Oryzias latipes: one gene and its partners. The protein of the gene in region 1 purifies or fractionates together with the protein of each later gene. This does not show direct contact. Links are inferred from orthologs where the notes say so. Each region holds a gene or a part of one and is shown in the gene's direction. Other genes may lie near its edges.

What was found.
Region 2: the proteins of exosc10 (region 1) and exosc2 fractionate together in Homo sapiens (co-fractionation; 9 studies listed by BioGRID and IntAct, with this or other methods). This does not show direct contact. The link is inferred for Oryzias latipes from reciprocal best matches to the Homo sapiens genes EXOSC10 and EXOSC2.
Region 3: the proteins of exosc10 (region 1) and exosc9 purify together in Homo sapiens (co-immunoprecipitation; 7 studies listed by BioGRID and IntAct, with this or other methods). This does not show direct contact. The link is inferred for Oryzias latipes from reciprocal best matches to the Homo sapiens genes EXOSC10 and EXOSC9.
Region 4: the proteins of exosc10 (region 1) and exosc7 purify together in Homo sapiens (affinity purification with mass spectrometry; 6 studies listed by BioGRID and IntAct, counting the BioPlex papers as one, with this or other methods). This does not show direct contact. The link is inferred for Oryzias latipes from reciprocal best matches to the Homo sapiens genes EXOSC10 and EXOSC7.
Region 5: the proteins of exosc10 (region 1) and exosc4 purify together in Homo sapiens (affinity purification with mass spectrometry; 9 studies listed by BioGRID and IntAct, with this or other methods). This does not show direct contact. The link is inferred for Oryzias latipes from reciprocal best matches to the Homo sapiens genes EXOSC10 and EXOSC4.
Region 6: the proteins of exosc10 (region 1) and exosc3 purify together in Homo sapiens (affinity purification with mass spectrometry; 8 studies listed by BioGRID and IntAct, counting the BioPlex papers as one, with this or other methods). This does not show direct contact. The link is inferred for Oryzias latipes from reciprocal best matches to the Homo sapiens genes EXOSC10 and EXOSC3.
Region 7: the proteins of exosc10 (region 1) and exosc1 purify together in Homo sapiens (co-immunoprecipitation; 8 studies listed by BioGRID and IntAct, counting the BioPlex papers as one, with this or other methods). This does not show direct contact. The link is inferred for Oryzias latipes from reciprocal best matches to the Homo sapiens genes EXOSC10 and EXOSC1.

The regions. Positions count from the first base shown.
Region 1 is NC_019865.2:9,473,456-9,476,955, forward strand, and holds part of exosc10 (exosome component 10), read left to right. Parts: coding exon 1-2; intron 3-83; coding exon 84-152; intron 153-231; coding exon 232-337; intron 338-413; coding exon 414-487; intron 488-3,500. UniProt on the Homo sapiens protein: Catalytic component of the RNA exosome complex which has 3'->5' exoribonuclease activity and participates in a multitude of cellular RNA processing and degradation events.
Region 2 is NC_019870.2:12,830,056-12,834,061, reverse strand, and holds the start of exosc2 (exosome complex component RRP4), read left to right. Parts: upstream 1-1,206; 5' UTR 1,207-1,445; coding exon 1,446-1,567; intron 1,568-1,766; coding exon 1,767-1,868; intron 1,869-1,995; coding exon 1,996-2,041; intron 2,042-2,166; coding exon 2,167-2,256; intron 2,257-2,346; coding exon 2,347-2,412; intron 2,413-2,505; coding exon 2,506-2,574; intron 2,575-3,739; coding exon 3,740-3,916; intron 3,917-4,006. Other genes in the region: ric1 (RAB6A-GEF complex partner protein 1), read right to left, coding at 106-246. UniProt on the Homo sapiens protein: Non-catalytic component of the RNA exosome complex which has 3'->5' exoribonuclease activity and participates in a multitude of cellular RNA processing and degradation events.
Region 3 is NC_019859.2:5,412,190-5,416,243, reverse strand, and holds the start of exosc9 (exosome complex component RRP45), read left to right. Parts: upstream 1-1,254; 5' UTR 1,255-1,696; coding exon 1,697-1,762; intron 1,763-2,191; coding exon 2,192-2,286; intron 2,287-2,368; coding exon 2,369-2,488; intron 2,489-2,572; coding exon 2,573-2,675; intron 2,676-2,746; coding exon 2,747-2,884; intron 2,885-2,957; coding exon 2,958-3,040; intron 3,041-4,054. UniProt on the Homo sapiens protein: Non-catalytic component of the RNA exosome complex which has 3'->5' exoribonuclease activity and participates in a multitude of cellular RNA processing and degradation events.
Region 4 is NC_019869.2:5,727,888-5,732,155, reverse strand, and holds the start of exosc7 (exosome complex component RRP42), read left to right. Parts: upstream 1-1,468; 5' UTR 1,469-1,550; coding exon 1,551-1,607; intron 1,608-1,700; coding exon 1,701-1,802; intron 1,803-1,874; coding exon 1,875-1,969; intron 1,970-2,650; coding exon 2,651-2,816; intron 2,817-3,887; coding exon 3,888-3,958; intron 3,959-4,037; coding exon 4,038-4,161; intron 4,162-4,235; coding exon 4,236-4,268. UniProt on the Homo sapiens protein: Non-catalytic component of the RNA exosome complex which has 3'->5' exoribonuclease activity and participates in a multitude of cellular RNA processing and degradation events.
Region 5 is NC_019875.2:26,759,988-26,763,728, reverse strand, and holds exosc4 (exosome complex component RRP41), read left to right. Parts: upstream 1-1,486; 5' UTR 1,487-1,550; coding exon 1,551-1,721; intron 1,722-2,476; coding exon 2,477-2,683; intron 2,684-2,768; coding exon 2,769-3,125; 3' UTR 3,126-3,241; downstream 3,242-3,741. UniProt on the Homo sapiens protein: Non-catalytic component of the RNA exosome complex which has 3'->5' exoribonuclease activity and participates in a multitude of cellular RNA processing and degradation events.
Region 6 is NC_019868.2:3,163,611-3,167,678, forward strand, and holds the start of exosc3 (exosome complex component RRP40), read left to right. Parts: upstream 1-1,268; 5' UTR 1,269-1,300; coding exon 1,301-1,543; intron 1,544-3,864; coding exon 3,865-4,014; intron 4,015-4,068. UniProt on the Homo sapiens protein: Non-catalytic component of the RNA exosome complex which has 3'->5' exoribonuclease activity and participates in a multitude of cellular RNA processing and degradation events.
Region 7 is NC_019859.2:28,378,248-28,382,324, forward strand, and holds the start of exosc1 (exosome complex component CSL4), read left to right. Parts: upstream 1-1,277; 5' UTR 1,278-1,354; coding exon 1,355-1,382; intron 1,383-3,215; coding exon 3,216-3,331; intron 3,332-3,597; coding exon 3,598-3,672; intron 3,673-4,077. UniProt on the Homo sapiens protein: Non-catalytic component of the RNA exosome complex which has 3'->5' exoribonuclease activity and participates in a multitude of cellular RNA processing and degradation events.

The DNA.
Region 1 (3,500 bases):
TGGTAGGAAATGTCAAGAGCTTAACCTTCACAATTCTTTATTTGTGCTTTGGCAGAATAATAATTTATTGCTTCTTATTCCAGTATTTACCTTCCACCGATGTGCATGTCAACAAGAATGCCAAGTTTGACCCATCCTCCAAAATATTTGAGGTACCTGAAGAGCTTTTTTGTGAAATATATTGACCGCTGTTGTTTTTAATGTGCTTTGCTTACTTTGGCACCCTGACAGATCAGCAAAAGGTGGAAACTGCAGAGCATTGAACAGCAGCAAAAAGAGTTAGAGGCTAAGCAAAAAGCCAAAGAGGAAGCAAAGCAACAGGCAAAGAAAGCCTCAGGTAATTGGCTTTTCTTTTCTACACATTACCTTTTCAAGCATTGTTTCCTCACTTTTTATCTGTTGAATTCTCTCAGAGAAAAGAACGAAGACTAAACAAAGCTACCAGGAGTCTCTTCAGAATGTTGCCACTGTGCGTCAGCAGGCAGCAGTAAGTCTTTTTACATTTCCTCGTTTCTCCGTTCATTTTGTTCTTTTGAACTTCAGACAAGCACCTCAGGTCTGTGTTGGAAGGCATGGCATATTCTTTTAGCTGGATTCACTCAAGGGCCCGCAACAGCGTTGAAAGGACAGTAGGTTTATGACTACTTTAACTCTGTGTGATACTTTATATTTTCCCAAGACAGTGAGTCCCCATCAGATGAACGGGTCTGCAGAAACACAGAATGGGGGCCATGTTAAATATTCTATCCTATAGAGGAGGAAAAATGTACAGCATGTGGGCTGGGTGTTATAAAAGTGTCTCAGATTCATTGGACACATTTTTGTTCCTCTTGAGTAACAAAGCCTCTTTTCTAGGAACTAGCAGCCTCCTGCTGCTAGTTCCATTCCTCAGGGGGTATTACTTGGCTTCCTTTTAGTTAGTTACTCGCACCCCCGCTGTCATATTAAACTTTTCTGATTTCTTTTCTTTCCAGTTTAACACTTCAGTTAAGCCTTTTACCACAGAGCAAAGCTTTTTGTCCAACTGCTACAGATAATCCTGGTGGTCATAAATCAGAAAATTTGGCAGCTGCACTTGAATGTCACAGGTGTTACTGTCCAGACCAGTGTTTTTCAACCAGTGTGCCGTGGGAGATGGTCAGGTGTGCCGTGGGAAACTACCCATTAACTGATCTAAAAACATTTCCCATCTCCAGGATATCAGCTCTGTGTTCATCCAAACAGGCCCTGATAAAACTGAGTAGTTAGGAATGTGAAAGATCGTAAAAGACTTTTACTTTGTGTTTATTTGATTCTTTTAAAGACATTTTGCTAAGAATGACGGTACCGTGATTTAGCCGTAGCTTCAGCTCTGTTTTCGGAAAAGTCCCACCCCTTTAACTGTCTCCACCAATCATTCTTGGAGGCTTAATCATACGTCATCAGTCTGACCAATCAGAAGTGGTTAAAGTCCAGACTTCCTTGTCCCGATTTAGCTCATAAAGTCTCTCAGTTCCAACAAAAATACCAGCTAAAGCTCATCTTAAGCGGTGTAGCTTTCTGCACGATCTGCTGTCAGACCGTGGAGCAAGTGAACAAAACAATGAAGCTCAGAGAGTGTCTGCGATCGGCGTCTGTTTCACACTACACCTCCCATGATGCATTGGGTTAAAGTGACAGCGTCTCAGTGAGTCCTCCCTGTTAAACGTCTTGAAACCACAACGAACCCACATCAAACCGTTTTTAAATCTTCTTGATGAAATCAGAGGTCAACAGTTTAGTTCTCCTTCAAGGTTTGTGTTTATTAACATCCAAACATCCCAGAGTTTGGTCCAAGTCATCTTTCTAACTGAAACACTTTTCTAATGAGGTCTGGATTATTTTATATGTCATTCTTTCTAAATCACTATTTAGAAAGAATATATTTCGTTTTTTGTGGGGTTAATTAAAATTGCATGTCAGTAAACTGAAGGGAAAAACAACTACCAGGGTAAATTTTCAAATAATTTAGTTCAAAATAATTACTGAAAACTAACTTAACTTTTATTACATCTTTTAGAAGAAACAGCTGCAACTTCCAGCTTTTTCTGCCACAATTATCACAACAGTGCATATGAGATTGCAGAGAAACTGTACATCAAACAGACTATAGAGTTTCTCCATTTTTCAATTTTGGATGCTGGTGTGCCGCGGGATTTTTTGTCAAGGATAAAGTGTGCCTTTGCTCGAAAAAGTTGAAAAATACTGGTCCAGACACACACTCACTTCCGTCTGCGGCAGCGTTCAGTAAGGATGCATCGATTCACTTTCCCAAAGGTTCAAACCTCGATTTTTAAATTGCAGTTTTTTTTCGGTGTGATATAAACTAAAACTCAGAAAAAACCTTCGTTTGATTTGCTAATAAGTCACCTGACATGGGTAAAAAAAAATATTTTTTTTCCCACAAAATAATAATTTGTTCCCACACAGTAGGAATTTGTTCCCACAAAATATTTAAATATTTTACTTCAAATCTCGTAATGTTATTTTTTTTGTTTTTGTGACACTAAAACTCTGTTGAAGCCTGAAAGTTTGATGAACACAGAGCTGATGTCATTGCAATAGTGAATGCTTTTTACACTGATTTAGGTGAAATTAGATAACTTCCCATTGCATACATGATGATCTTTCATGGCATACATGTGTACCGCGGCACACTGGCTGAAAAACACTCATCTAGGAAACCAAAGAAGGGCCATAGCCGATGACGTATGTGATGGACGCCAGCAGAAGACGGGACCAATTTTATTTAGTGCTTTCAAGAATACCTGTGTCCTAAAAGAGAAAGAAGTGTAGATGATTTAGTTAAAAAAACAAGCCAAAATAAGAACAGAATGGAAGGTTGACCAACATTATGAAAAAACATGGATGCAGCCGACTCGGCTGTACAGATTGTCTGAATCACCGGCTCCCTTGTCAAGGCTACCTAATTAAAACTACCCAAAAGAACCAATAAAGCTTGTAAATTATAACAACCAGGGTACATACAGTGTGCCACCTGTCAGCCACTTGCAAATATTGGCTGTTAGCACACTAGTACTTTCAGCTAGCACCTCTTTGCCGTTCGGCTCTCATGGCTGGTTTTTCAAAAACACAGATTCACTAATAGCTCAGAAATCTGTTCACAGGCAGCACTTGTTTTGTTGTCCTTGTTGTTGGTTTTGCCACCTGTTACATGAAGGCAAACCTCAAAGGTGAGATGTAGCTCACAAAGCTTCCGAATTAGATTAGGAAGAGAATAACAGCCTGATTTTTTTTTTCCAAAACGTTTTATTCACAGTGACTGTTCTGAGTGTTTTACAGATGCACAAACGAAAATATTTTTTAAAAAATTAACCCATTACGATGAAACAAACTTGGCTAAGCAGCATTTAACAAATAAAAAAAACAAAAAAAATCAGAAAACCCGAATTCCCACCTGAAATTTGTGGTCTGGAAGAGTTTTCTAACATTTTAAATGTTTCTCTATGGTCCACTTGTGT
Region 2 (4,006 bases), on another chromosome or scaffold:
GTACAGTGACTGCATAAACTAAAGAAACTAAATGAACCTCCCCTGATTGTGTTCGTGCAGGGACAGCTGGAGCAGCGCGTGCGTTCACTTCACTTCACGACTTACCCGGCTGAACCAGATGCTGATCTGGGTTTCTGACACCAGGGCGAAGTAAAACCTCTGAGAGCTGGGCTGGATCTGGAAAGGCTCCTCTTCGCTCCTCAGCGGACAAAGCAACCTCCGGGGCCAACCGGTTAGAAAATACATGACGGCGCTCTTTAGTTCGAGCAGGCAGCGCAGCAATCCAGATCCTCGGTAGTTGCCTCTACGGGCGACTCATAGTGCTTTCGTCGAGACAAAAACACTACTAAAGAGCCCGGTGATGGCGCTGGGCAGGTTTAATCCACAGATTCCATACAGAAATACCAAAGCAGCCGACTGAGCTCCACGGCTAGCCCCGGGCTAGCATTGGATTTTCAAACTTAAAGCTAGCGAGCGGTGCGCGGTGTCCCCGAAAACAAAAGCGGCGAGGCCCGTCGCGACACCGTGCAACGCTAAATTGTGCCCGCTGTACCAGTATGCTGGCCAATCCGCTTTGCTCCCCGAGCTTTGTCAGTTGTTACGCTGTCTGGACCAGTGGTGTTCATTAAGAGATAAGCGTCCAGTTTTTACTCCACTGAGCCTCACTGTCGCCATCTTTACAAAGAGTCTATCCATCTTAACGCTGATTGGTCAGCCGCACGAAATTTGCTTAATGTTGACATCCAACGTCACCACTCTGTTATGTGACAATGGCTGCTGCGTGACACGAGGGTGACACCTAGTGGTCAAGTGAGAAGACATCCAGAAAGAATGTATTGTCATGGAGTTTCATTAATTTCTTTAATGAAAAAAAGAAAGAATAGAAATATGGAGTCCCATACTGTTCATAATTAAATAAATAAATATTTAATTAAATAAATAAATATGACCTCATGCAAATAGCAATGTGAGCAACATGATAAAGTTACAGTATACGAAAAAAGAAACAGAACTCAGCTGATTTCTTTTTATCGAAGACCAAATGTGACATTAATGGACAATAATTTGGTGCCAAACTGCATGAAAAAGAACGGAATTTTTTTCTAATTTGGAATAAAAAATAAATATTTGTGAGGATGGATATTATTTCAAGATGTGCTGCACAAGATACACTGTAGTAGTAACTCCATACCACAAGGAGGTGCTAATGTAGCTATAACACGCTTTTAAGACGCCAAAGAAGCAAGTGGAGGAAAGTTTTGTGTTAGCATAATATGCTGTTTGGTTGGCATTTATTACAAGTTTATAGGGTAATCATTTGTTAATTTAAAAACAAAAACAAAGATTCAATAACTACGTACACCATTTTTTTTTGCATTTTTAAACTTAAATCTGACTTAAACGAGTGTGAAAGAAGCCATAACCAGAAGAGTTGCGGTAACAGCATGGCTCTTGATATGAGATTACCGACTGTGAGGAAAACGGTGTCTCTGTCAGCTTCCGCTTTCGACCGAAAGGATCTCGTTGTTCCCGGAGACATCATCACTTCGGACACAGGTTTTATGAGGTAGGTTCTGCTTGCGTTTTGGAACACGTGTTTGATACCACGCTGATGTAGTACGGTAAGCTACATGCTAAAAAGAAACTCAGAACACACCAGAACTTATTTAGATGTGTCTTTGATCTGATGGAATACTGATGAAGGATAAGAAATTACATCTTTACATGATTTTAATAAACCATAACTACAATTTGTCGTTTTCTAGGGGGCATGGCACTTATGTTGATGAAGAAAAGCTGACAGCTTCAGTTGCTGGAGAGGTGCAGAGGGTGGACAAACTCATCTGTGTCAGACCACTGAAGACCAGGTGAGTGTGAAGGACAAAAATCTTCAATGTTTATGAACAATAGAATTGGTTGGTGGATTGACCCATTCAGATCGGACTAGCCCCACTTTTGCAAACATTCTTTAAGATCATTTGTGCGTCATTTTAGATTTAATGGCGAGGTTGGAGACGTTGTGGTCGGCAGAATTACAGAGGTGAGTTATTCCAACTGTTCTCTAAAAAGGCAAAACGAGATAACAATTTTTTTTGTTGTTGGATTCATTGTATCTGTTTTTGCTAATAATCTTTTCAATCTGTTTGATTTGATGGTTATATACAGGTGCAGCAGAAACGTTGGAAGGTGGAAACCAATTCCAGACTGGACTCTGTCCTCTTGCTGTCATCAGTAAACTTGCCTGGAGGAGAGCTGGTGAGACAGAACTGTGTTGTTTAACGAGAGAGAAGCGTTACAGGATGAGTTGAACTGCATGCTCTTTTTTGTTGTTGTTTTGTTATACAGAGGAGGAGATCAGCAGAAGATGAGCTGACCATGAGAGAATATCTTCAGGAGGGTGATCTCATAAGTGTACAGAGGATTTTCTAGTCTTTTTGCCAACATTTCCCCCTCATAGTTTTTGTCACTAAAGACTACTTTGCTGTATTTTCTCACTGTTTTTAGGCAGAAGTGCAGTCTGTTTTTTCAGATGGAGCCTTGTCATTACATACTCGCAGTTTAAAATATGGAAAAGTAAGTGCACAGTGTTACTATGTTGATATCTCCTTTTGGTAAATTTTACAGAGCTGTTTCCCTGTTGTTGTTATACATGTTGAATAAATTTGTGTTTCTGGCCATGTTCACACTGCAGGCTGAATCCAATTTTTCTGCCCCTATGCGACCTGTGTCTGATCTTTTTATGACAGTCTGAGCGACACAGATCAGATCTTTTCAAATGCGACCTCCGTCTGAATGGCCAAGCCACATGTATCCGACCCGTAAGTCATTATTCTGCGTTGAAGTAGGCGGGAACAAGAACATGAACATCAACCATGCCGGACGATGCTGGTGAGACCAGTCATTGGAAGGCAAGCAAGGTCACCGATTGGATTAAAATTTGGGGTGACAGCTCTATTCAGGCCAAACTCGAGGGCTCTTATCGCAACCGGGCGGTTTTTTGAAAAAAATTCCAGCGAAATGGCCGAGCGTGGGGTTGAACCTTCCTGGCAATTACTTTTTTTTCCCCTTTCTGACCGTGGTCAGAAGCGCGGGGGACCGAAGGCGGATCCTCCTTTGGGCGTTCATTTCCCCGTTCGGACCCTCAGATTCTCTAGAGCAGTTTAATAAAGAGTCAATAGCAGCCTTTTTTTATTATCGTTGTCCTTCCTCCGTAACACACAACATGAATGCGCACAGCGCAGTAGGGAATGCTGCGCTGCACGTGCTCTCTCCTCTCTCTTACACACACACACACGTGCTCGCGCGGCCCCAGCACATACACATCCCCATTCCACCACAGTGGGTACAGACGATCCTGGCTCCAATGCCTTCTTAAAATGAGAAGATTGTAATTGTGCTGGCTCCATCTTGAAAATAAATGTAAACTGCAAAAAGAGCTCCGCTGTTGACAACACTGTAGTTGACATCCATTGCTAACGTTAGCTACTTCCGCAAACAACGAGTGATGTCGTTCCCCGTTGAGTACTCTTCTGCGCATGCGGGTCACTTCTGGGTCATTTCACGGTCACACAGGAAATCACAAAAGTTCGCATTTAATTGGAAATGTGAACAGCCTTGCAAGAACATCGGATTTTTTCTAAAAAATCAGAATTGAGCATTAAGCCCTGCAGTGTGAACGTAGCCTATAGGTACCGGTATATCATTTTTTTTCTTTTCTGGGTCTCTGTATTCTTGTTAGCTGGGTCAGGGAGTGCTGGTGCAAATTTCACCTTCTCTGATCAAGAGGCAGAAAAGTCACTTCCATAATCTTCCATGCGGTGCATCTGTTATCCTTGGCAATAACGGCTTTGTGTGGTTGTATCCCACACTGGGACAACAAGAGGAGGAAGCTGGAGGTTTCTACACCAGTCTTGAGGTAACTTTGTAGGTTTATAAATATTTTATGTTTCAAAATGATCAAAAAGTGTCATCTAAAAAGTGTTAATTGTTTTAAAAATATTTTAAC
Region 3 (4,054 bases), on another chromosome or scaffold:
GAACTGCCCCGGCCGCAGCACCTGCTCCGCGGGCTACAGCTAACACAGCAGGACCGCCACAAGTTAGCGCAACACGAGCTTCGCTGACACCCGAACACGCGCGGAAGACGGATGTAAGCACGCGCTGACGCAAAACAAGAGGCAGCAGACATTTAACGTGATACAACAGAAAAGATAAAACGTTTTATCTGAAGACCACGAATGAATGAAAAACAAACGCTAGCTTGCTAGCCACAACGTTGCGCGCGCGCGCGCGCCCATGATGAATGGAGTGGAGTGAATGAGCGTGCGCACACAAACCGTCCTTACGTCCTCTCTTGCAGCTCGTTATTATATTTGAAAATGGTTGTTGTTGTGTTCTGCCCTACGGAGAAGGGCACAAGAGTGATCTGAGGTTGAAGAGCGGAGTCTCCCTTGAGAAACGGAGGGGAAACACGGCTGGATGGATGGACCGTGAGTGACAGTTAGCCCGTATAACGGTACTGGACGTGCGCAGTAGACACAGAAGGGGAAGCACGACTGATGCGTTCAAATGCTCAAGCCAAAAATCCGAACCCAAGCTGTCATTCGCTCATTTGTTTTTATGCATGCTTGTTATAATTTTTTTAAATAACATCATCAAGGATTTGTTCACATCTGTTTCCTTTTTTTTCAGACCGATGAACATAAAAAGCTTTTAAGATGTACTACTGGCTATTTTTAATTGCCATATAAGGAAAATGTGGTGTGATTGGTTAATATTTGATTTAACAATACATAAAAAATAATTTATTCTTTAATAAACAGAACACAGCTTTGGTTGTATATATTTGTAAATACAGAAAATTGAATGCATTGTTAGTCAAAGGTTATATTCATAGAGGAAGAAAAAGAAAAACATGTATTTAGAATTCAAGTCTACAGGACTTTAATTGGGGGAAAATGGCTTGAGCTTAAAAGAAGTTCCCCTTTACATTTCTTATGTTTATGTTAAGACAAACTAAACAAACAGCAAACATTTATTCAATGTTTAATATTAAATAAATTTGACAGCCAAATAGAATTTGCAAAGATCAAGGGATTGAAATTCTTTGTATACACATTTATCATTTCTTTTAGTATTTTTATGCAGTTAATTAAGCACGTGTATTAAATGTATTCTTAAAAAATTGTCAAGTTAAAATACAAAACCAATTATATTGCAGAAGACAAAAACTTGAACAATGTAATTTCCAAGTTGACCCCAACGCAGCACCGATCGCAACTGTCGTAAACACTTTTTACACTCGTCTGACCGCAGGAAATGCAGATATTTTATATAAATTATAAGGATATATTTTTGGGTTTGTAAAATAATACAAAATTATTTCTTGTACTGAAATAATTGTTGCCTTTAATGTGAAAACAAATAATTGGTTGATTCAACCTGCTGTGTATTTGATGCTGGCGTCTTCTGTTTCCATCTATTTAGTTTGAAATAATATGAATTTGTACGAAACCATAAATAAAATGCTACAATTCAAAATTAAGATAATTTTTAACATTAAAACCATGTTTAATCCAGCATTGGACTCAAACCATATTCGAGCCTTTACTGTCGTAAAACGTACACAGCTGCGCATGCGCGCCTAGAACCGGATAAACATAAACGTGCCCGCGTGGTTTTCAAAGAATCTAATCATTTCAAAATAACTCCAAACAGCCTGAAATCCACACGATGAAAGAAACACCGCTGTCCGCCTGCGAGCGGGACTTTATACTGAAAGCCATCGAGGAGAAAAAGGTTTGTTTTCGTTCCTCGGTAACAGTTCCCTGATGACTACTGTGTACAACAACATTTTATTAAAAGCGTAGTTGTTTAACAGTTCGGTAAAACTCCGGGAAGGTGGTTTAATTTAGAAATCTTCAAGAGAAGAGGGAAAAATGCGACTTTTGCAGCATCAATGATTGATTTACTGATTTTAATACAAAAACTGTGCATTTAATTGATTAATTTTTGTACTTCTGTGGCCTTGATCACTGCAAGGTTCCGTATGCTGCTCGTCTTAGTGACAATCTGGATATTATAATGTGAGAAAAATATATTTCTGTGTTTTTTTTAATATATTCATATCCAGCCTAACTGCTTCACTCTCTGCTGGTGACTGAATAGAAAAAGTGAGATGGGAAGAGTTTAAGGGAAAACTATCACGTTGTCTTTTTTTCCGTGCAGCGTCTGGACGGACGGCAGACCTACGACTACAGAAAGATCAAGATCAGCTTTGGGACGGACTACGGCTGCTGCTTTGTGGATTTGGGACAAACCAGGTGAGCCCCAGGTTCTCTTTGTGGGGAAAACCGGACGTGGTGCGTTTGATGTCGCTCAGTCATCGGAGCTTTGTGTTTTCAGGGTCATGGCCCAGGTATCTTGTGAGCTGGTTGCACCAAAGGAGAGCCGCCCGAATGAGGGAATCATGTTTTTTAACATCGAGCTGTCACCTCTGGCCTCGCCAGCTTTCGAGCAGGGAAGGTTGGTTTTGGATCACATGACCTTATAGTTTTGTGCCTCGATTGTCTCTGTGTGGCTCATTTTTTGTTGTTTCGCCACATCCAGACAGTCGGAGCTGTCCGTGAAGCTGAACAGACAGTTGGAAAGATGCCTGAGGAACTCCAAGTGCATCGACACGGAGTCCCTGTGCGTGGTGTCCGGAGAAAAGGTCATTCCCACAAACCTGTGCGACTCGCAAAGCGACGTCTGCTTTCCTCTGAAACGCGTGTGTTCGCCCAGGTGTGGCAGATCAGGGTGGATGTCCACATGCTGAACAACGACGGGAACCTGATGGACGCCTCCAGCATCGCCGCCATCGCCGCTCTGTGCCATTTCAGGCGGCCCGACGTAGCCGTCCAGGGAGAGGAGGTCACGGTGGTGAGGGAGCAGCCCCAGCAGGAGGCGGCGTTTTCTCATCTGTCGGTTTACATTGTTGCTTTTCCCGTTTCAGTACAGCCCAGAGGAGAGGGATCCCATTCCTCTTAGCATCTACCACATGCCCATTAGTGTCAGCTTCTCCTTCTTCCAACAAGGGTAATAATCCACTTCTCCTGATTCATCCCCAACTCCTGACCATAAACTCACTATTCAAACTATCAATTGGAGATCACATGATCGGAAATCACAGTTTCAGACTTGATCGGAATTTATTTTTTATTATTTTAATTCAAGCTTGTTTTTTTTCTCCAAATAAACGTCCTACTCAAAATCTGCCGACCATGAACGCATCACGACATTTTACGCAGCGGAATAGGGCGTCATTTTGAGCAGGAGGCAAGATATTCCCACATTTAGGCTTCCAGGCTCTTTAAAGAAACATTTTAAGCTGACAAACAAGTGTTTCTATTGGTTTGTCTTAACTCACACAACTACTTTCGACGGCATCGTGAACTCTGATCATCTTTTGATCGCAGTGGTCTTTTTAATTATGTTTTTTTAGGCAAAATCACAAAACCTGTATCGTTTTCTAGGACATAGTTTCTGCAGAGCGGCTGCAGTTGTCTTGTGGGGCGGGAGTTTTGGTGTGGAGTAACCCCGCCCCCCTTCCCCATCATAAATCTTTTTACAGGCTCTCTGGCTAGCTTACAGCCCCCTCTCAAACCCAAGGTAGCATTGCCGGTGAGACATAGAGACGTACGTGGATCTGTACAGAGCTGGGAGCTTCTGGCTTGCCGTAGTAACGTGTTAAAAGGGTTTTTCCAACTGCATATTTTGTCAGCTCCTAATTACAAAAAAAATTCTCAGAAATGCAATTTTTAGCTAAATCTTCTTTTTCTATGTCTTCAATCATGAGAAAACACTACAAGAACACGTTATAAACACCACTTTCATCAAAGTGGGTCTTTAGTGAGATTCATGGTGTGTCCAAATTCGAGGGCTGCTTCCTTCAATAAACTACCTTTAATTAACTACAATAGGCCGGATGTGAACAGCTGTGAATTTGGATGAGCCTAACCGTTTGAATTATTCCAGCCGTTGCATCTGCGAATGTCCCGTCGCCTAGCAACCGCGAGTCCAGAACAGAGAGGAGAAGTGAACCAGGCATGG
Region 4 (4,268 bases), on another chromosome or scaffold:
CCGCTAACGCGTGTACTCAATGGCTTCTTCCTGGTTTCTGGTCTCCGTTTAATTAACAAGGTAATTTGCTAGCTAGTTCTTCGACTTAAACTTTAATAAGTCACTGTATTTTATGTTTTCTTGAAGGGTCTCATCCAGAAATCTCTGCGGGAGGAATAAAAACGCACCCATACCCAACCAGGAAGTTTGATTACCCCTAGTAGATTCGCCCTGGGTATGGTCTGTCAGGAGAGAACCCGGGAAGGACTTCCTGTAAACTGACCAATCAGATTATGGTCTAAAATTAAATCCACCCCTTTGGCCAAAACGCAGGGCAATTTTTCTTCCATTTAAAATCATTTTATTTTTTTTACAAGTACTTCCAAAAAACACCCAAATAATCATATTTCTGACAATACATACTACAATACAATGCAATCAAACCACAATTTACAGATCTGAAAATTAATGATATTCCCCTAAAAGATGAAAAAAAAATGCACCAATAAATTAGTAACTCTAACCTTTAAACAAATAACTTTCTGCAACTTTAGTATAAACAATAGACGGGACTTAGAAACCACCCTAATGAACACATTTTTTTCTTTATACACAAAGTACCCACTTCCACCTAAAATGAAAGAAACGCATTTTAAAATAATATCTCAAATTTACCCTGTTGGAGATTTTTTTACATAAAAGATTCAAATTTCAATCGGAGCCATGCCTATTCTGTTAATCTGAAACTGAAACGTTAGAACATCTCTGTTACAGTTACAGATAAAAATATTTTGGACTGATATTCACAATTGGTTGTCACTCAAAGTTTTAAATATTCCCTTTTTTCCTTATCTGTTGTTATTTTCTATATGGAAAATATGGACCCAGGAATTTCTGATGTCATTAATGTTGTTATTATTTAATGCAAAAATTTCATTCATTTATGTAAATGGAAAACTACATGCCCTTTGTTTGGTATTTTTTGAATTACTTTTCTGATTATTATAAGTGTCTTAAATGCATTCCAAACAAAAACAAGAAAACTACAGTAATTTATCAAAATATATCAAACGTACTGTTATTTTGAATTGTTTTTTGCCTTGCCTTTATCATATTTTTTAAATTTTGTTTTGTTTTTTCAATATGCGCATTTATAACGATTGTTCACCCTAACTTGTTTTGTATATGTGCATTTATAAATATAAAAAAATCTGAATATAATTAAATAGAAATATATTTTAAAACTGTCTATATACTCTTTATGATATGGACAAACATAGCACAAGCATCTACATTCCTACACAGAAGAAAAAAAAGATTACTCTCAAAAATGTATTATTATTGTCATTATTTTATTATTATTATTGTTTTTGTATTATTATTATTATTATTATTATTATTATTATTATTATTATTATTATTATTATTATTATTATTATTATTAAATTTTGTGATGTTGAACAGCAGCTCCCACTTCTTCCAGGTGGTGGCGACATAGTTCCTTCATCGAGAAAACTGTAGAAGAAGAGCCTCCCGGCACCGTTTCTTCTTCTTCTGTTTGTTGAGTTAACATGGCAACAGTTAAAGTTAGCGAGGCTGAAAAGGTGTACATTCTACACGGAATAAGAGTGAGTTGTTCTAGAAATGTGTGCTCTATTAAGCTAAATGTCTGTGAAGTTGTCACACCAACCTAAAGATGTGGATGTTTGTATTCTCCTCAGGATGATTTACGTGTGGATGGAAGAAGCTGTGAGGACTACCGACACATGGAAGTGGAGACGGATGTGGTCTCAAACACTGATGGATCTGCCAGAGTCTCCCTGGTAAAATCAACATTTACGTGTGAAAGATCCGCAGAAACAGTGTCTTTATTTTCCTTCCATCGTGCTTCTCAGGGACACACCGCCGTCCTGGTTGGGATTAAAGCAGAAATAGGAAAACCAAGACCACTGGTTCCAGATGAAGGATACCTGGAGTTCTTTGTTGATTGGTAGGTTTAGTGTGCATTTAAAGCAGGTTTGGACATCAAAATGTGCACAATTTGACATTTGACAGAATTGTATTGCATCAAAACAGTAAAGAAAAACATTGAATAGCCTCTATAGTTTATTAAAATGAATAATGTTTGCATTTTTGGCTTGATATAAATATTAGAAATACCTGAACCCTAAACCGTTACATATTTGATTTCTTTTTGGCTAAGTTGGGAAGTCTCTCTTGATGTTTTTGTTGAGATCATTACATGTTCTAAAGCTTATAATGCATGTTTAAATATTTTTTGTGTTTGTTTTTGAAGTTTGAAGGATGTCTTTGTCCTGCGAAGCATTTTAAAGTAATGAGGATGTTTTAAAAATAAAGTTTATTTTGGATATCTGTTTTTGTTTAAATCATCTTGCAGGATAATAAACTCCTAAACTAATAACTGCTGGGATTAACTGTTGCACCATTGACTCAGTTTTCCCCACTTCTCTCCGCTTTCTTCTGATTCTGTAACTCCTCATTCCGATTGGCTGAACTCACCTGATCCAGGTATTCAGCTTTAAGACGTAGAGGGTGTTCATGAGGACCATGCCGGGCTGTTCTGGTTTAAGAATCGGAACCAAACTGAGTTATTGTCAATGTTTGATGTTTTTTTTTGATTCCCTGACATTTTTTTCCCCAACACCCCCAGCTCTGCCAACGCCACCCCCGAGTTTGAAGGCAGAGGAGGTGAGGAGCTAGGGATCGAGCTGAGCAACACTCTCTACAGAGTCTTCAACAACAAGAACAGCATAGACCTGAAGGGCCTCTGCATCAGTGCTGGGGAGCACTGCTGGGTTCTCTATGTAGATGTCCTGGTGAGTCTCTTTAACATAAAAATATAAACACAACATAAAAATGTTAAAAATAAAACAATAAACACAACAACAATAGACGTAAATTCAGTAATAATGCTAAATCTTATGATTTTTAAGTTTTTTAGAATTTTGGGTAAAAAATTGGGTTAAAAAAACAGGTTGAAGTAGACATTTACATGTTTTTTGTTTGTTTAGGAAAAACTTGTTGCTGCATTTAGATTTTTTTTTTAAATAAAGTTAAGCAAGTGTTTTGTTTACCTTGTATGCATTAAAAATGAAATGCTGAAGTATGTCTGCTGTGCTGCTGAGGGGTAGCAGATGGGGTCAAATCAGGTTAAAATTAAGAAAAAATAAGGTTGTAAACTTGAAAAAAGAAAAAGAAGAATGTTTTGAAATGGTGTTAAACTTGAAATTATACATTCTAAACTTGAAGAAATACAGAAAATTGGATACAAAGATTGTAGATTTAAAACTTAAACTAAAAAAACTATAAACTTACAAATGTTACCAAATAAAAAATGATCTTCATTTGTAGCAGCTGCCGTTTTATATAGTGAAGTTTTGGTTTTTTCGTTTGTTTAACTAACAAAAACATACCAGTTTCTAATAAACATTAATTTTATTTCATTTTCACTGTAGGTTTATAGTTTTTTTATTCTAGTTTCATAATTATATGCTGTTGTTTTTTTTTCTTTCTAATTTTAAGCGTCATTTCTTCATAGTTGGGTAAAATAATTAAGAGACACTGATGTAACTCCATAGTAGCACTTCAACTTGTGAAAGTATCAAGAAATATGTATTTTATTTTATTTTTTGTTCCTTAAACCCCAAATAGTCATACCGGCCTGCAGTGGATGCAGTTTGTTTTTCATGGAGGAGGTTTGTCGGACTCAAGAAACACTAAATGAGTTGAAAGGCAGCTGATGTGTAATGAGGAAGTGAGGTCTACTTAGTCAGTCAGCCAGTTAGAAGAAATGCGGCCTGAGAAGGGGCGGAGCTTCACCTCAAAGGCCTCAAATGATTTGTAAAAACCACCACTTCATAAAGGCGTTTGCATCGTCTTGTTTGCAGCTGCTGCAGTGTGACGGCAACCTGTACGACGCCATCTCTGTCGCCATCAAAGCGGCACTCTTCAACACAAAGTGTGTATCAGTTTTTCACATTTCGTCGTGTTTGGAGACGTTTTCAGCTCATCCTGTGCTCCCATCATTTCTCCCCCAGAATCCCTAGAGTCCACATGTCGTCGGACGATGAAGGCGGGAAGGAGGTGGAGCTTTCAGACGACCCGTTTGACTGCGTGAGGCTGAGCGTGGAAAATGTTCCCTGCATCGTGACGCTGTGTAAGGTGAGCCGCTGCTCGCAGGTGAAGTCCGTGGTCGTAAACGCGACGGTTTGTGAAGAGTGGCTGTCGTTGAGCAGGTGGGCCACAGACACGTAGTGGACGCGACTCTG
Region 5 (3,741 bases), on another chromosome or scaffold:
AAACGAAAGACCGCTCCGTCATATCACATATAATCTTGTTATTGTTGAGCTCATTGCATTATACGTATATGCATTGTTTCATATATGTTTTTATTTATACACATTAGAGATGCTAATAAATTTTATTTTTAAAACTCTTGAGGTTTGAGTTGTACTCCTTTTCTTAGGCTTCATCTTTTCATCTTCATCTTCATACCTTTATCGATGGAAAGGATTTTGATGTTAAATGCGATATTAAAGCAAATCTAAAGGTAAAAAGACAACAAATGAAGCAACAAACAGAATGAAGAGATGGAAGATGAGGCTGGAATGTCGTCTGAGATCTGATAAAAGCTTTAAAGTGAAATGCTGGCAGGCAGTTTGTGTGACTGAAATATTAACAAAGCAGGCCAAAATGTAGTCAATTTAAACACGTTTTAAAAGGTGAAAAGCTTTACTCTGTAATCAATTTAAAAACACACAAAAAACTTATTTTAAATATGGCATTACAAGGTAAGTCTACTTCATATTTGTAAATTATCAAATGCTTTAACACAAATTTTTTTTTAAATATGAAAAAGTGAAAGATGTTGATCTGATTTAAAATGATCACGAACGATTGGCGCTCAAAAATATTAAAATTAAACTAGAAAAATAAATGACAATAGAATTGAATCCTTTTTAACATCAGAAATGAAAATATATCTTCTGTATAATTTACAAAAATGCTAAAACATTTTATTTAAAAAGATTAACACTGGATTTACTTTTTAAAATTTGAAAACCAAGATGTTTTGGAAAAATAAATATACTTTGACTTGGGTTCTGATTTCAGACAGAAGATAAAACAAACTGCAGCGCCTGTAAAACTTGTCAAGATGTCAGGGGCAAAAATTAATAAAATAAAAGAAAATGAGAAAATCTGCAGGTGTCCTTTAAAGAATTCTTATAGTAATTTCAGAAAATGTTGCTGTACTCTAATATCAAAATTCTATATTTAAAGACAGTATTTTAAAATTGACATTCCCAAGAAAAAACAATAGTTATTAAAATCATGATTAATCTTTATCAGATTATGTCAATACTCTGACATTAAATGAAGTGTTTATTGTGTTGAAAATATTTATAAATCTGAATTCCTAAAACTTAAAATGCTTAAAGTCTTATTTTATCTTGTAATTTTAAATTAAAAATCGGAGTCGTGAGATTAAAGTCAGAATTCTTAAATGTAAAAACTGCATGCCGTGTGTAATTTCTCAGCTCCTGATTTTAATTTATTTTATTAATTAGTTTTGACTCGCGTACTAGTAGTTCCGCATTTATCTACTTCTTTTGTTCTGACGTATCAGTTAGATTTAAAAATAATATAAAATAAGAAAAAAGGCTTTCTAAATGTTTCGTTAGGCTACTTTTCCAGTAAGAAGTTGTTACTAAACCATCTAAGTAAAATAAATATGGAAATCTTTTTTGCGACACTTTCTTCCGACGTTGCTGTAACTGCTCGAAGAGGATGATGGTTAATGTAGTACATCAGTAGACACGTGTGTTGTCGTGTAGTTAAGCTAGGGAAAATGGCGGGTCTGGAGCTGCTGTCTGATCAAGGATACCGGTTGGATGGAAGAAAAGCTACCGAGCTGCGCAAAGTCCAGGCCCGCATGGGGGTGTTCGCTCAGGCCGACGGTTCCGCGTATCTGGAGCAAGGAAACACCAAAGCTCTGGCGGTGGTTTACGGCCCGCATGAAGTGAGTGGCGCGCGCGCGTGGAGAAGTGACGTAAAAACAACACCACCAGTCTGTTCATGGCAGCCAAAGAAACGGTGCAAACTGCGTTTAATGAAGGATTAAGATATTTCTATGTAATGTGTCAGATTTAAAGGGATATTTTACATTAATGTAATGATTTTAGTATAATACGTTTCCTTCAAAGCATTTTATTGTATCAGTAACACAAAATGTTTACTTATCTGGCTCGGTCACACAGTACTTACTAACAACTGCATTCAAGAGTTTTTGAACTTGTTATGCTATTCTGAGGTAAACTTACTGCTTTTGAATCTTTGACTTGCTGAGAAATCCAAGTTAATTTGAGGATTTGTTGGTTAATTTATTCATTTACCAAAAGTATTCCAAGCCCCAAATATAACAGCCCCTTACCATGACACCATTACCACCATGTTTGACTGTTTGTGCAATGTTTTACACTAGAGTGATGCGAGGCACATCACCCAAAATGTTTCACGGTTATCTTTTCTGTCCTGAAAGTCTTTCCTAAATCTTGTAGAACATCGATATTTCTGATGGAAAACCTGAGATGTTGTTTTTGCTCATCTGTGCCGTTGACCTCAAACTCTCCCATGTCTGGCGTTTTTATTGTCTGGTTTACCTCTGATGATGGATTAAAAAGCTGTTTTACTCAAAGGACAGATGTATGCCGCCCTGTGAAAAATGTCAGACCTTTTTTATGGTTCTCCTATGCTTACTTCCTGTTTCCCATTCAGATTCGAGGTGCTCGTAGTCGGGCTCTTCATGACAGAGCCATTATCAACTGCCAGTACAGCATGGCCACCTTCAGCACGGCGGAGAGGAAGAGGAGACCGCACGGAGACCGCAAGTCCACAGAAATGAGCCTTCACCTCAAGCAAACGTTTGAAGCTGCCGTGCTGACCCAGCTCTACCCACGCTCCCAGATAGACATCTATGTCAAGGTTGGCCTTAGATTTATAGTATACTGCGCTCTACTTCATAGCATCTGTTTTCGTCATTGTTTTAAGAACGTTTTCATCATTCAAGATTCTTCAGTCCGACGGGGGGAACTACAGCGTTTGTGTGAACGCCGCCACACTGGCAGTGATCGACGCAGGGATACCGATGAGGGACTATGTGTGCGCCTGCACAGTGGGCTTCGTGGATGAAACCTCTCTTGCCGATCTTTGCTACGCAGAGGAGAGCGGAGGAGTGAGCTCTCTGGCTTTGGCGCTTCTGCCCCGCGGAGGGCAGATCGCTCTGGTCCAGATGGATGCCAGACTGCATCAGGATCACCTCGACACTCTGATTGAGGCGGCAATGACCGCTTGTAAAGGTGTGAGCAAAGTCCTGGACCAGGTGGTCAGGCAACATCTCCAAGAAGGTTCTACGCTCAGAGAATAATGGTGAAGGAAAGAGTAAACAAATGGTTTCCTGGGATCAACACTTATTTTGTCGTCATTCTTAACATTTTATTAAGTATATTTGTGCATAAAGAATAAATGTGAATGTATATCGTTTCTTTGTATTTGCATTTGTTTTATTAGCTGAAAACTGACCTGTTTTTGATGCAAAAATCAATGTGATCAACTGAAACAGCAACATCAGCATTTTATATATAAACAGATAATAAAGCTTTGTTTTCAGACTGATACAATAAGAACCTTTATTTTAAACCACACATCCGTAAGAGTAAACAATTTGTGAAAAATTAGATAATTCTTATATCCAATTTATTTAGCTGTGTTGATATCTTACAAATTTTCACCAAAACAATACTTTTTATTCCTGAATGAAATGCTCTGTTCATGTGTTTAGTCTTTTTTTTTTAGATTAATTTTCTTTGATTTGTTTTGCAGACAGGCTATTCTGCTTTTGCTTTTGTTTGTTGTAAAAGTAATTTTTATGTCACAATACAATACATGTTTTGTAAGAGTTTCAGTCCGTTGAGGCTGAATAATCTATCATTTTCTTTACCTGCTGAAACAAAATTGGTATTAATGTAACTTACTTTTTAAAG
Region 6 (4,068 bases), on another chromosome or scaffold:
TTCCATCAGGAGACAGGCTAGTACATCAGGAGATGTGGAGAAGGCCATAGAAGGGGGGCCAACCCTGCATCAGGACCACTGCCTCCTCCTTTGTGCAAGGAGAAACGGGAAGAGGCCTGCAAAATAACCTCCAGTTGACCACAAATGTGCACGTCTGCTCAGAATGGTAGAAACAGACTCCATGAGGTCGCCAGGTGGGAGTTGTGTTGACAGCCCAAAACCGTGCGAGACATTTGACATTTGCTGTAGAACACCAAGCTTGGCATAGTCACTGTTGACACAGTCTGGAGATGCGGTGGAGAATGCTCTGCTGCCTGCAATATTGTCCAACATGAGCGCTTTGGCAATGGGTCAGGTATGGTTTGGGGCGGCATTTCTTTGGAGTGCCACACAGCCCTCCATGTGCTCACCAGAGGTAGCCTGACTGTCATTAGGTACTGAGATGAGATTCTCTGACCCCTTGTGAGACCGCATGTTGGTGCGATTGGCCCTGGGTTCCTCCTAAAGTAAGACAGTGCTAGGCCTCATGTGGCTGGAGTGTCAGCAGTTTCTGCCAGACGAAGCTAATGATGTCATGGACTGGCCCGCACACTTTCCAGACCTGAATGCAATTGAGCACATCGGGGACATCATGTCTCGTCCATCCACTAACTCCTGGTTGCACCCCAGACTGTCCAGGAGTTAGCAGATGCTTTGGTCCAGGCGTCAGAGAAGATCCCTTGGAGGACCACCCGCTGCCTCATCAGAAGCGTACCCAGGCATTGCAGGGGAATCATATGGGCATGTGGAGGCCACGCCCACTACTGAGCCTCATTTTGACTTGTTTCAAAGAAATTACATTGAAGTTGGATCAGCATGTAATGTTCACACATCCAGACATCCATAGCCGAATAGTTTTAATTTCCATTACTATTTTTATTTTATTGTGTTGTCAGGACATGCAAATATGTAAAGAATGAAGCATTTCAAAAGAATATTTCATTTGTTCAGGCATAGCATGTCTTTTTTAGTGCTCCTAAATCGTTTGAGTTGTGTACGTGTGTGTGGGTGTGTCTGTGTGTTACACTATTGAGACATTTTTATACTACTTTTTGTTTCTGTAGAAAATTATTTTACCTTTTTTCAAAGACGATTATTTTAGAGGAAATTTGGTGAGACCTGGATTTATCCAAAACGTTTTGAAAGGTGTGTCCTTTAAACAGGAAAATTCTTATAATTTAGAAAGCGCTATTGTTCCTCCTGGTCACCAGGGGGCGCAAAGTAAGGATCTGATATAAACAACAAAAAGAAGAAGACGACCATGAGCACGACAGGAGGCATGTTCGCCGTTCTGAAGGAGAAAGTTGGACAGGTTCTGGTTCCGGGGGACGAGTTCTGCTTTGGTGCAGAGGAAACGATCTCTCTGTCGGAGAGCGCGAAGCCGGAGCGCGCGGTGTGTGGACCAGGGCTGCGGCGGAGCGGAGACCGCCTGGTGGTGATGAAGAGCGGCGTGCTGCGGCACAAACCGCCGCTCACCTTCTGGATCGATTCCCAGCAGAAGCGGGTAAGAGCGGACCGGTCCGAACCAAAGGTTCTGAGATCCCAACAAACTGCGTTCAGCGGTCCAGAGACGTGTTTAGAGCATTAATGTGAAGCGGTCCGGTCACAACCAGCATTCAAACACAACTTTATTGATAGCACTTCCTGATGAAATCCACCTCAAGTGCTTTATATAACAAATAGTAAAAATATCAGTTACAAATAACAAAGTATAATCAAATAAAAACCAAATACGCGTCAAGCTAATACATCAAAATAAACTAAATTAATTATTTATCAAATTAAAACATATGGACTGATACAGAGATATGGGTTTTGATTCGATGCACTCAACTAACCAAGAATTTAAAAAAATCCACACATGATCTGCGTATTTTCAATTTAGACCCAGATTATTTATGCAAACACAAGTTTCATTTTTGCAAACTTGTGTTTGCTTAAATAATGTACTTTGTTGTGAATAAATGTGTCCGCGTGCGTTCGTTCCATTGATCCTTAGGACAGTGTTTTTCAACCTTTTTTGAGCCACGGCACACTTTAACCCTGAAAAAAATCCCGCGGCACACCATCATCCAAAAAAAAAAAAAAAAGCAGAAATTCATGGTCTGTATTGATCGACAGCGCCCCCCCCCCCCGCAATCTCACGTGAATTTTTGTGATAATTGTGGCAGAAAAAGCAGGAATTTGCGGCTGTTTTTTTCTAAGAGATGAACCACCAGCTAAAGCTCGTCTTTAGCTGGTATATTTGTTAGAACTGAGCGACTTTATCAGCAGAATTAAGAACAAGGAAGTGAAGACTTTAAGCACTTCTGATTGGTCAGACTGATGACATGTGATTAAGCCTTCAAGAATGATTGGCGGAGACAGTTAAAGGGGCGGGACTTTTCCTTACACAGTTAGAGCTGCAGCTAAATCGCGGTACCGTGATTTTTATCAAAATCTCTTTAATAGAATTAAATAAACACAAAGAAAAAGTAATTTTAAGATCTTTTATATTCCTAACTACTCAGTGTTTTATCAGGGCCTGTTTGGATGAACACAGAGCTGAAATCCTGGAGATGGAAAATGTTTTTAGATCAGTTAATGAGGGCAATTTCTCCACGGCGCACTTGACCATCTCCCACGGCACACTAGTGTGCCGCGGCACACTGGTTGAAAAACACTGCCTTAGGAGAATCGTAGTGTGACGTCACCCATACAAATGGCTTACTGGCTCAAAGATGAAACAAACAGAGATGCTTGTCCTCCCCGAGCAGCAGCAGGTGAGCAGCAGAGTAGAGAACCGCCCCGTGTACTGATGATGGGTTGGTTGGCAGTGAAACATCTCTAAAGTCGGATCTTGGCGTTTACTATATTATTTCACCCATTTTGACTTAATTATTCTCTGTGCTGCACATGACTGCGTCTCTGGTCAGCGTGAGTTGGCGCTCAATGCACTCTGCAGGTGGGTGCTGGGGTGGTGTTGGTCCAGTAGACCTGCAGCTGCTCAGAACTGCACAAACGCCAGACGTATAGAGAGAGAGACAGGCACAACTCATTGTCATGGAATACCTTAAGTCAGAGAAAATGAACATGGAGGCATTAAATAATTCTTTGTGTTTTTAAAAGAGTGGATTCGACAGATGTGATCATAGGCGTAACTGATTTGTTTCCACATCTCACTTTGAGCAGTGGCCTATAGACCACATGTGTTGTAACTTTTTTGTGTATTTTTTCACATTGTTGTCTGAATTCTAATAAAACCAGGTTATGTCTTGAGCCAGGTTCAAATTTGCACAAGGTCATTTCTCTGAATATAAAGTTATATGAATGACAAGAGGATCTTGTTTGTGAAAACTGTTTTTTGCCTTGAGAATCTGTATGTGAGAGGAAAAAAAGTGGAGTAACCGGTAGGCAATTACCGTACTAAATAGGTGAGTAAAGTAATTTAATTACAATTTTGTAACACTAAGTAAACAGTTACTTTTTAGAAGTCATTTTCCCAACACTGATGCCAATATGACGTCACCCGTTTCCCTAAATAGAAAGGTAATAAATATGAACATTTTATGACGACTTTATGAATCTACTGTGTTCTGATGATGAAAACCTAATGGTTTATAAAAAATAGTGGCCAATCAGGAGTGAGCTTGTTTGAAGGTCACACCCCTATCACTTGAAAGCAGGCTACATAAAATCTGTCAAATGTTTCACACATTCAATGTGAGAAGTTATGTCAATGGGATTTTGGCTTCTTGGAGCCAGCGGGTTCTTCCTGTTTGGAGCATGAGGAGGGAGGGGTCCTTCAGTCCAGTTCTCGAATAGTCAATGGTTTGTTCTCCTCAGTATGTCGCCACTAAAGGGGAGACCGTGATCGGGATCGTGACGGCCCGAGCAGGAGACACCTTCAGGGTGGACTTTGGCGGCAGCGAGCTGGCGTCTCTGTCTTACCTGGCGTTTGAAGGAGCCACCAAGCGAAACCGACCCAACGTCCAGGTGAGTGTGGGTGGGGCTCTGTGTGCAGTCTGCTGTGTGCAGTCACTCCAAGGA
Region 7 (4,077 bases), on another chromosome or scaffold:
TTTTTTCCCTAATATTTGGAGGACTACAGATTTCTTAGTCGCATTGGTACGTTTCTCACTACAGTATTAAAGTTTGCAGCACTTCTAAGGCATTTCTCAAAACAGATTTTTCAAACTGCAAAACTCGATGCACAACCTGCAAAAGCGAGTCACTCTTTCAGAATGGAAAGTCAAATTCTGGAAAGGAAGTCAGTAGTTAAAAAATGGGTAGTTCAAGCTGCAAAAGCAAATCCCTTAATCAAAGTGGATGAATTGATCTTCAAAGTCAAGTATTTATGTCAGTGAAAGTTTCAGTGTCATCAAAATAACAAGTTATGACTCCAGCATCTTTGAACAATCAAGTCAAAAGGTTTATACATGTTTTCATTGAGACAGATTACTCTAAAAGTGCTTCCCAATACCATGTGAGACAGCATTACATACCACGAATGGCGTTTAGAAAACTGGAGTTTAATAAAAAATGAAGACACTGTATATGCACTTCTGCTGTAGACTCACAAAGGTCTTTTTTTAAATCTCTTTCTGCATGGTTTTCCTGCAATCCAGGCCATAGTTCATATGTTTTAACAGAGGGGAGTGGGAAGGGTGGGTTGGGTTTTTACTGTAATATTGTGTGTTTTCTGTTTTTAATGCTAAAGCGCTTCGAGCTGCACAAACGCATGAGAAGCACTATTTTATAAATAAAGTTTGATTTAATTTGATATGACATGGTTTACCACATGATCTTCAAGTCTTGCCCCATACTGAATGTAGTGACTGACCAAAGCTGTTTGTCTGATGATCATTACACAAACTAAATGACCTCCCTCCCAAAGAAGAAAAAAAAAGAAAGAAAGCAAGAAAACAAAAAAAGGGGAACACCAGTACTTAGTTTGACAGATTATCTCTGCTCATTAAGTCACAAATTCTCTACTTTGAATGGACATTAAATTTGTTGTTCAGAGTTGTTGACATTTGCAATATTACCGTTTGTGCGCAGAACAAAGTCATTTTATTTGAGCAGAATTAACAACTTTGTCATTTATAGAAATAATTCTAAATTAAACTTGCCAACAAAACCCAAAAGACTAATTAGAAACGAGAAAAAAATCGTTTTTAAAAGCTCTTTTTTATGCAGCCCACTTCTAATAAAAAAGTTTTTGTTAAATTGTATAAAATATTAAATTACTTCCAAATAAAATTATATATATATATCGATACAAAATTAACCAAATTATTTGTTTACTGCTACACCGTCACGTTTCATGCCCATGCGCACCTCTTTCGGACACACCCTCCCACTCTGAATTAACCAATCAGAGTCGCCTCGCGCCCGTGAAAAGAGCCAATTGAGTGGTGCGCGTCTTCCGCAAACATGTCTCCCACGAGGCTGTGCGTTCCAGGTAAGTCTCCGTAAAAACCGCTTTTAGCGGTTTTCTATTGGTTTTGTGTGTTGTTTTTTTGTTAATCCCGTTTGTGAGTCTGTCACTGGGACGCCAGAAAATGGCGTAAAATTCTCCGTAGCGGTATAACGTGTAAATGTTGCTGCCATAGCTACGCGCGATTTAGCTCGTCTTTGCGCACTCATCGTTTAGGTAGTAGTAAATTCGTAGATTTGCGTTTGTGTGCATGCTTATATTTCCCTTTTCTTACTTAGTTTGGGCGCGTGCTCGCATTTTCTGAGCTCCGAGACACGTGAGGGGGCGGGGAAGGCTCGACACGTGAAGGACTGTGACTTTTCCCACCCCCGAAAACTATGCAGTCGATCCTTAGGATCACGTGGTTATAGCGGGGCCCCATGTGGTCCCCTTCAGAAGTTCGGACGGGTACAACATTTTAGAATATTGACTATTGAAAGCTGCGTCATGCATCAGCAGAAATGTGGTGTTCGTCTGAAACAGCTTCTAGTCAGTTAAGTCCTGCTGTCTTTGTACAACAGTTCATCATCATTCACTACTGTGTCAAACTTAAGGCCAGGGGGCCAAATGTGGCCCTCCGTGTTATTTTATGTGGCCCGCGGGAGCATGAAAGTTTTTAATTTCTTAAAATGAAATGTTTTTTTAGTTGATTACATATTATTTGTGTAGCTGCAGTTGTAATTATACAATGTTTGCCGGTCTTGTGTGTGTATGCAGACAAATTGTTGTCATCAAACCATCAGTTGGATGCAAGGCTGTGAGCAGCCTTTTATTGTAAAATGTTACACGTGTAATTAATCTTCTTTCTAGCTCAGTTTTAAGTTATTTTTCTTTTTTCACTTGGACAGTTTGAGCGTGGGTTTTAATAAGCAGACAAAATGTAGAAGGATTTATGCTAAATTAACAAGCAAACATGTTTTCTATGCAACTGTAATTGTCACTATAAAACGTTATATTTAATAAATGAGTTATTTAACATTAAGGAGTAGTTACGTCTATCTTTCATTACATTTGGTTACATGTATAAGTTATATCTGGCCCTTTGAGGGCAGCTGTTATGCTGATGTGGCCCTCAGTGAAAATGAGTTTGACACCCCTATACTAATCAGTATTTACCTGTTTAATCAATTTTGAAAAGACGTATTGAAACTGTAGTTGGAAATGTGTCTTTTTAATAGTGTAAATATTGAAACAACAAAGCATTTAATGTTAAACTAGGAAAAGGTGAACATCCTGAGGAACCTTTTCAATAATCGGATCCAATATACATCTTGAATGTTATATTTGTCATTTAAACTAATGGCAGAATAAACAAATGTATAATTGCAGATGTCATGCCCCTCCACACACATGGAATGGACTCATAAATGAACCTTTGAATCTGAGCTGTATTTTACATACTTAGAGCCTGAAGATTATTTCACTAAACATTCAGTTATATATATATACTCTAGCTCCCCTTCCAATATACTATTTATGAAATCTCTATAATATTTATTTCCTTGTTGGAATTCAAAAACAACAATGTAATAAATAATATTGTTTATTGTTTGCTGTTTTGCATATGCATATGTATAAAGGAGCTTTGTGCCTCTGCTGTGAGAAAAACGAAGCAACTATTGCAAAGTTTGCAATAATTTCAAATGGAAAATTATCAATATTGAAAGAAAAACAAGAGGGGGGGGGCAGACACATGACAGGCTCTGATTGATTGAACACACCTGATCAGATAATCTGCTCTAGAAAACAGGTAAATCCTGTGGTTTTACTGTGGTTTGGCAGGAAGCCCCACCTTCATTCTGACCATCTGTGTCTCAGGTGACAAACTGTGCAGCGTGGAGGACTGCATTCTGGGAACTGGAGTGTATCTGCGGCACGGCTACATCTACTCCTCTCTTGCAGGCTACGTGCTGAAGAAGAATGAGGGGGAGCAGGTGAGGAGGGGTGGATCTAGCAGAGTTGACTTGTTGACACATCTTCCAAGTCTGTAGTTAAGGGGATTTTCCTTTAAAGAGAGAGAGTATTTTGTTTTAATTTTTTTCAAATTTGGGGACAAACTGTAGTTCATTTATCGTCCAGCCTTACCATTAGCCTGACTCCACCCACCCTCTAATCCAGAGGGATCAAAGTTTGGGATGGAACGGGGTGATGACGAGTCTGGTCCGCACTGGTTCTCGTGCACGTTTGTGGTGTTTTACAGTTACCTGTGATCTCTGTGGTCAGAGAAACAGAAGTCCAGCTGTTGCCAGATGTGGGCGCCATCGTCACCTGTAAGGTAGGAGGGGGGGCTGACACAGGTGGGACCTACACTTTTAGCCTCATTAGGAGATTTTTCCAGGACTTTGTCACATTCATGGTGCTTGTTTGGTAGCGGAATTGTTTGCAGATTAGAAATATAGATTATCATAGATAATTAATTAAATTTATTTTTTTAAACAGAAGAAAGTGCGATGATGACAAAATACATGTGGTAAATGGATTCAGTATTCCTGCCTTTGTCTTTGCTGTTTTCCTGCATGTTTTTAAAATCATAAATAAATAAAAACATCATAACTAAACTCACAGCTGTAGACTCCCTTCTAGTCTAAAGCAGCTCCACATTTGAAACTGGGTTGCATTTAGCATCACAGTTTGACATCTTTTCTGTCTGTTGCTGAACCACAGGGAGACTTTCAAAATC